Linked DNA regions of Mus musculus. The protein of the gene in region 1 purifies or fractionates together with the protein of each later gene. This does not show direct contact. Links are inferred from orthologs where the notes say so. Each region holds a gene or a part of one and is shown on either strand. Other genes may lie near its edges.

Region 1 (4,018 bases):
CATGAGCTTTCGAGGCTTTCCTAGGGATGTCTAGCTTGTGAGGGGTGGGACAGTAGCCAGCCTTTGCCGCTTCTCTTCTTGGAAGGGAAGAACATCTCTGCTCAGCCATGTGCACACAACTGGGACCGCTGTGGCAGGGGCCTCCTCAACTCCCAATAAAGAAATGTCTTCTTGGCTTACTTTTGTTTTTTTCTGATGGGACACACTGGGCCTTGGGACCGAGTCCTTGTTCCTTTATGCTCCTTACTACTGGAGGTAGGAGGCTTACCATGGAAGGCATGGACCCCCAAAGCGGTGTCAGGCCCTGTAGAAATGCACACATTTCAGGAGGGTAGGGGTAACACGTGTCCTATCAGATGAGACTGGAGGGTCTCTGTCTCTCTCTGTCCCCTGTCTTGAGATAGAAGTCCTTATCTTGGACTTTCAAGGAGGACAAGGGGCTCCTTGGGAGGTACTTCTGACCAGATGCTGCAAGGAGAGTATGGTTGTGGGAGCCCAAAGCCAAACCTCCATCTAACCTTCACTCAATCCCCGAATTTGTACCCTATCCTTAGAGATTAATCCTGACTCCCCCTTTTACCTATTTCCTCTTTAACTCTCTTCTTCAAGCTGAACATTCAACCCCGAATGCTCCTGTCATTCCTCAATATCCTTACTCCAGCTTCCATCCATTCGAAAACCTCCAGGCCACACTGCCACCCTAACTCCATCATGGCCTCCTAGGTATAGCTCCTACTTCATACCTGGGGTGGTCCCAAGGTCCCTCCTGACTTGCTAGCCTCTATCCTGGGTCTTCCTGATTGTGACAAGAAGCTGTTTAGGCTGGAGGGAAGTGCTGACATTGTCCCACTGGCTGGGGTCACCTCCTTCGTTCCTGGGCCACATATTTCCAGGGCAGCTCCTTATCCCTTGCCCATAACATCTCCATCTCCTTTCCTGTGGCCCACACCTCATGTCCAGGTTGCCCGTTCTCAAAGCTTCCTAAACTTCTGGCTGAGCTGTGGCTGCTTGGTGGTGTCCACCCCATCCAAGTCTCTGCCGTGCCCACTGGAGCTCACTCACTACTTGATTGTGCCTGCTGGGGAGGGAGCAGGAAGCCTGGTTCCCAGACTGGGCTGGTCGAGGGTGCTATGACATTTACTACATCAACCAACAGCAAGAGCACAGTATCCATGTTCCCCCATCCTCTGCATGGGCAGGGCCTGGCAGGGTATAAATAGGTCAGATTGTTGGGCTCTCCCCAAACCTCTCTATTCAGCACTTCCTCTCTCTTGGTCTGGTGAGTTGTGTTGGTCTGATAGCACTGCTAGCGGCATTAGAGGCTGAGGCTAGGGTAGAAGAAAGGGGGGCTGCTGGGGGAACAGATGTCTTTAATAAATCCAGATGAGAGATTCTGATGTGGAGGTTCATGTATGTGTGTGTGTGTGTGTGTTTTTCACGAGAATGAAAACCAAAAAAAAAAAAAAAAAAAAAAAAAGTGTATAAATGGCTACATCTGAGCTCCCGGAGGTTTTGAGATACTGAGGCTGGCTTGCATGTTGCTATAGTGTATATTGGTGGTGCTTGGGAGTCACTGTCATGCATAGGATGCTGACTCGTGTTGCTGGGTAATACAAGACAGTGTGTGGACACTCGGGTACAGGAAGCAAAGCGAAGGCATCAGTAGGCCTTTTTGTTTTACAGTATTTAAATTACAGTTTTTATTTGTGTGTATGAGCGTATGGGTTGGGCTGGAGCAAATGCCAAGGCGACATTGTGGGAGCCAAAGGACAATTTGTGTGGGAGTCAATCTGTTCCTTCTAGCATGTGGGCTGTGGGGATCAAACTCAGGCCCTGGAGCTTGGTGGCAAGCACCTCTACCCACTGAGCTATCTCTCCAGCACCCTCCTGCAGGCATTCGTGTTTGTAGTGTGTCTTATTTTTAATAGCCCTATGAACATATAGCACCTAGGCCAAGAAAGCCTGGCTTCCCCACCCTCTCCTCTTGCATCCCTACCTCTGCCACTTCATCTTACTCCTATTAGGCAGCTGGGGTTTTTCCACTTTTTTTTGTCTGCCTCTGGGCAGGCAGCCAGCAGCCGCGCCCAACGCTGGGAGGGAGAAGAATGGGCCAGGGCCTGGTGCTTGTGGTTGAGCTGTGGGAGTGAGTAAGCTGATGGAAAACTGCTGTTGTTGAGGCCAGGACTGAGAGGCACAGAAAGGTGCTGGCATGGATCTCCAGAGTTTGAGGGGTAGGCTTTGCAGGTTTCAGAGCCCAGAGCACATGTGACCTTCTTGCCATCAATGGGTCCCATTCCTCTGATCTCCCCAGGGGGTGAGGTCCATCTCTTAGAGAGTTGGCTGGGATAGAGCACTTAAAATGGGGACAGAATGAGTGTGATTTGGGTCATGCTCAGCAACACATATCCAGTTCTCAACACACTGTTGGCGTGGGTTGGAGAATGTTACTTTTGTGTCTCCTGCCCTTAGGTCTCAACGGTTACCATGGCAAGACCCTTGGAGGAGGCCCTGGATGTAATTGTGTCCACCTTCCACAAATACTCAGGCAAAGAGGGTGACAAGTTCAAGCTGAACAAGACAGAGCTCAAGGAGCTACTGACCAGGGAGCTGCCTAGCTTCCTGGGGGTAAGTGGGTCCTGCCTGTGTATTGCACACGTGATGCATCTGCAGGAGGAGGCTGGGGCTGGTAGGCACTAGTCTTGATGCAGTACTTAGCTATAGCTGGCATATATCCCTGCTCTGGGTGCTTGGTACGGAACCACAATGAACCACCTACTTCACACTAGCCCCCAGCTGAGACAGGCTTAGGATGAAGATAACTGAAGAGGCAGAGGAAAACCAAAACAACCACATTAGGCAGTCAGTGTCTGAAACCACAGCCTAGATCAGGGCTGTCTTTCCGGAGATGGGCACTAGAAATCGAGTTTTTATTTGTGAAGACATGATCGTGGAGGCACACAAATGCCTGCAGATTATCCTCTCAATAACACCTTATATTAGTTAACGGATCACTATTATGACAGTTTCCTATTAAGATAATTAAAACAAGCACGGGGAAGATGTGGTCACATCCTTTCCCAGCTATCCCATGTGTTCATCCCATAGTTTAGCCCCGAGGCTAGCAAGGAGTGCTTGCAAACCTTCCTGAGCTCCTGACTGGAGGCAAATATCTGGTTTGAGTTGGCTTCTAATTGCTCCTCTTCTACTGCCAGAAAAGGACAGATGAAGCTGCATTCCAGAAGGTGATGAGCAACTTGGACAGCAACAGGGACAATGAAGTTGACTTCCAGGAGTACTGTGTCTTCCTGTCCTGCATTGCCATGATGTGCAATGAATTCTTTGAGGGCTGCCCAGATAAGGAGCCCCGGAAGAAGTGAAGACTCCTCAGATGAAGTGTTGGGGTGTAGTTTGCCAGTGGGGGATCTTCCCTGTTGGCTGTGAGCATAGTGCCTTACTCTGGCTTCTTCGCACATGTGCACAGTGCTGAGCAAATTCAATAAAAGGTTTTGAAACTATTAGCTGTTGTCTGAGAGACTGGAGGCTATGGGCTGAGGGCTGTGGTAGAGACTGCTGGAAGTTGACCTGGAGCTTTGTGGGGGCCAAACTAAAAAAGGTTGGGGAGGGGTGGGTGGCTTATTTTGAGTACATTGCAAGTATGTATTTGTGTGTGCGTGCTTATGCATGCGTGCATGTGTGCGTGCGTGTGTGTTTGTGTGTGTTTACGTGCTCCTATATATGCAACAGAGCAAACTCCGGGAACACTAAAGGCAGAAACCACCAGAGGCTTAGCTTGAAAGGCTCCAGATGTGTGCTGTTAGCCAGCCCACAGTTCTCCCTCCTCTCTCCAGCACTGCCTCTGGGCTCAAACTGAAGTTGGGATGGGATTAAAGGTCACATCTGCTGCTGGTTGGGGTCTGGAGAGAAGACAACAGGCCTGCCTGAGTCATGAGGAAGGAGTCTTGAAGCCAGAGAAGAATGGAGAGGTGGACTGGCACTCAGCCCTGACATTTATAGGCCA
Region 2 (3,500 bases), on another chromosome or scaffold:
TTTCAGGGCACCTATACCCATTGTGGCTGTGGAGTGAGAATGGATCGACCCCCCTGGGTTTCTCTGAGGCTCTGTCATCTTAAATAAATTAAGATAAATTACACTCTTCCAGTTGGACAACTATTTCCAGCTACTCCTGTGTCCTTCTACGGCAGTACTTGATGCTTGTAGGCCAGTGCTGCTTATCATAACCCGTAATCACAGCTCTGCTTCATAGAAAACTCAACTTCTGCAACTTCTGCAAATCCTTCTGGGTCTCTTCCCCTGAATTTTTTTTTTGAACAAGTGTTATTTTCCTTTGTAATATGTAAAGTTTCACATTTTGGAAAACACCAGCCCTGTCTTTGGTTGTGGCTGTTCTCCAGGGATGGACAGTTGAAAGAACTTATATGATGCATCTGTGGAAGTCTGCAGTGGCAAGTGTGGATGCTGCTCTTTCCATGCCAAATCAAAACGACTGACTTTATATCTAAAGAAAATCTCACACATACCTGGCCACTCTTTTTCCAGTGTCTAATACATAATAGGCTGAGTTGGTCTCCCCCTCACCCCTTGAGTTAGGATCTCAGCCTGGTCTGGCCTTGAGCCTTTTGGGTGCTGGGATTATGAGTGTGCACCACCACGCCTGGTGACTCATTCTTTGAAAAGAATTGCTAGTCCTCTGTAACCGTGTGATCTAAATGGCAAAGGAGAAGGAGAGTTAAGAACAAAATGATATAGAATCTTAATTTGACCTCGAATAAAATGTGAGAGAATATGTTCAGGGGAACTGGGTAGTTTTAATATGTCCCACTTGACCCATTAAATTGGGCCTCTGCAGACTTCAGGTGTGGGACTCGAGAGTGAAGTGAGGCTCAGTAGTTCTGATGCCATCTGCCTGTGAAAGTAGAGCCATCTTTCAGGGCTGAGCTTAGAGCAGGCGAGCTTGCTGAGGGCCTAAGCAGAGTCTTGGGGTGCACTGTGGGAAGGATAGAAACTAGGGGCTACAGCAAAGAAGAGACAACCAGGCCACAGATCTAGGAGCAAGTCATGGCGAAAGATGTTAGAGGAAGAAATGAGTCTCACTTTGTAGCCCAAGCTTGTCTCAGAATCGCTCCTCCTGTGCCGGCCTCCAGGCCGGGGATTTACAGGTGTGTTCCACCACACACAGCTCTGTCACACACTTAACCTCAGAGGCCAATTTTAAGCTAATTTACTTTATGCAGGAGAGTAAGCTTAGGGGACATACACTTACATTTTTGTACTTCAGGGAACTTTCTGGAAGTCACTGATTTATAGACGCAAAGGGGAAATCTTTTTTTTTTTTAAGATTTATTATTATACATAAGTACACTGTAGCTGTCTTCAGACACATCAGAAGAGGGTGTCAGAGCTCATTACGGGTGGTTGTGAGCCACCATGTGGTTTCTGGGATTTGAACTCAGGACCTTTGGAAGAGCAGTCAGTGCTCTTACCCGAAAGGAGAATTCTTAAGTTGCTAAAAGCAAGAAGGTTTATATATTATTTGTACTCACGTGGTCTTATTCTATCCTTGGGACAGCTGAGACAGAAAAAGAGACAGCTGAGCACCTGAATTTGGCTGGTACATCTCGGTCAAAAGGTTCCCAGGGAACCAGTCCATTCCCAATGTCTCCACCATCTCCAGATTCCAGAAAGAAATCCAGAGGCATCATGAGACTCTTTGGGAAGTAAGTGGAAGGAAGGGCAGGTGGAGGACCTGACTTGTGTGCTGTTCAGGTGCAGAGGACAATGGGAAGTTTGCCTGGGCGTGGGTACCAAATCCCAAGGCTTTTTGAAAGAAAGACTGATAATGGGATGCATATACTCATTGGGCCTTGGTTAATATTTAAATTCAAATATCTGGACTAATGACATACAAAAACAAACAAACAAAAACCTTATGATTAACCACCAAGTCAGAAGCCTCCTCAGGTCTAACGTATGACCATGTGCGTTGTGTCCTTAGACTTAGAAGAAGTCAGTCAACTACATTCAACCCAGATGACATGTCTGAGCCTGAATTCAAAAGAGGAGGGACAAGGGCAACTGCAGGACCCAGGCTTGGTTGGTCTCGAGATTTAGGACAGTCCAACAGGTAAGTATACCTGTGATGTCACTATTGGCTGAAGTCCGACTTACTGCTCTGTCTGGGAAAGTGACTCTGCTTGTCAGTAGTTGGTGACAGCTGTGTGGGTGAGAGCAGTGTGAACATGTAAGGTGTCAGGATGGTTCTGGGGCTGAATGTTGATGTAGGTACAATTATGTGGGAAGTCTCAGAAGGCATAGTCTTGTAAAGGTGGGGCAGCCGAGTGGTCAGGAGATGGTTCTAGGGGCTGGGCTTGTGGCATAATAGCAGAGACCTAGTGTGGCAAACATGGGGTCCTGGTACCAACTCCAGCACTGAGAAGTGGAAGGGGAGAAGGTAAAAACTATGCTCTGGAGTCAGACTTCTTGCTCTCCAAACTCGTGTCCACCAGGCAGGTGACCTTGAGCTATGCCTTCATGCTCTGATTCACTTTCCTCTCACCACAGAGGGACCTAGCACCTATCCTTAAAGGTGATTGTGAGGACTGAGTTGATATCTGTCTAGTAACAACTGATCAATAGACATTAGCAATTTGATAGAGCCTTTGAAAGTGCATAAAGACACATTGTATCAGAATTCCTGAGCTTATCAAGACCATACATTGTTCGACCGAATTAATAAAAGCCTTGTCATACTAGTTGGGGAAAAAAGCTATGTTTCACTCACTAGGAGTCCAAGAACTTTCCTTGTGCTTTATTAAAACCTAGGTGGGTTTGGAGCTAACCATACTGACCTCCTGAGCATAAGAGGGCGGGGTTGGCAAACTTACAGAACAAGGTGTTGAATGCAGAGCCTTTTAAAGAGTAATCAGCTGGGAACACAGACTCCCACACAGGTGGAGCCCTGGACATGGGTTTCATCAAGAAGTTCCCTTTGGCCTTCAGATAACAGATGTTCCCACTTGCCATATGTCTCCTTAAGTACAATAAAGAACTCCCTTGTGCTATTAAAAAAAAGTTTTTGTCATGCACACACAATGTAAATTAATATTTTTTAAAAACTTAGCCATGTCACTTTGAAAATTTTTTCAAGCAGCAAAGCTGTGTAAGAAAAAGAAAATAGAAACTTCACTTGGAGTGTTCCTTCCTGTACTTAGCAGGGGCACATTATCTCCTCAGTGATTCTCTGCTAGAGAGAAACCATAATTCTGCTGAAATGAGTTCATAGTGCGCTTGAATTTCTTTCTGCCAAGCAGTATTTTCAGTTTGGGAGTCAGCTCTTGGGATAGTTTTTTTTTGAATGTGGAAAACATAACTTACATAGTTATGTAAGTTAACTGGGTTGCTTTAGGTCTCCTGGTAGGCCAGCAGCCTTGGCTGTAGCAGACCACCTGTGGGGCCTTCCAACTGGGGGCTCTTCACAGAGGCAGAGAAGATGCTGATCTGTTGCCCTGGCTGCAGTAGATCTCCTGGGA

Evidence for each region. Proteins that work in one complex are often made in the same cells at the same time.
Region 2: the proteins of S100a4 (region 1) and Ppfibp1 purify together in Homo sapiens (co-immunoprecipitation; 3 studies listed by BioGRID and IntAct, with this or other methods). This does not show direct contact. The link is inferred for Mus musculus from reciprocal best matches to the Homo sapiens genes S100A4 and PPFIBP1.

Annotation. Positions count from the first base shown.
Region 1 is NC_000069.6:90,602,528-90,606,545, forward strand, and holds S100a4 (protein S100-A4), read left to right. Parts: upstream 1-1,242; 5' UTR 1,243-1,279; intron 1,280-2,103; exon of another isoform or gene 2,104-2,231; intron 2,232-2,469; 5' UTR 2,470-2,484; coding exon 2,485-2,625; intron 2,626-3,212; coding exon 3,213-3,377; 3' UTR 3,378-3,518; downstream 3,519-4,018. UniProt on the Homo sapiens protein: Calcium-binding protein that plays a role in various cellular processes including motility, angiogenesis, cell differentiation, apoptosis, and autophagy.
Region 2 is NC_000072.6:147,017,494-147,020,993, forward strand, and holds part of Ppfibp1 (liprin-beta-1), read left to right. Parts: intron 1-1,540; coding exon 1,541-1,688; intron 1,689-1,966; coding exon 1,967-2,095; intron 2,096-3,500. UniProt on the Homo sapiens protein: May regulate the disassembly of focal adhesions. Did not bind receptor-like tyrosine phosphatases type 2A.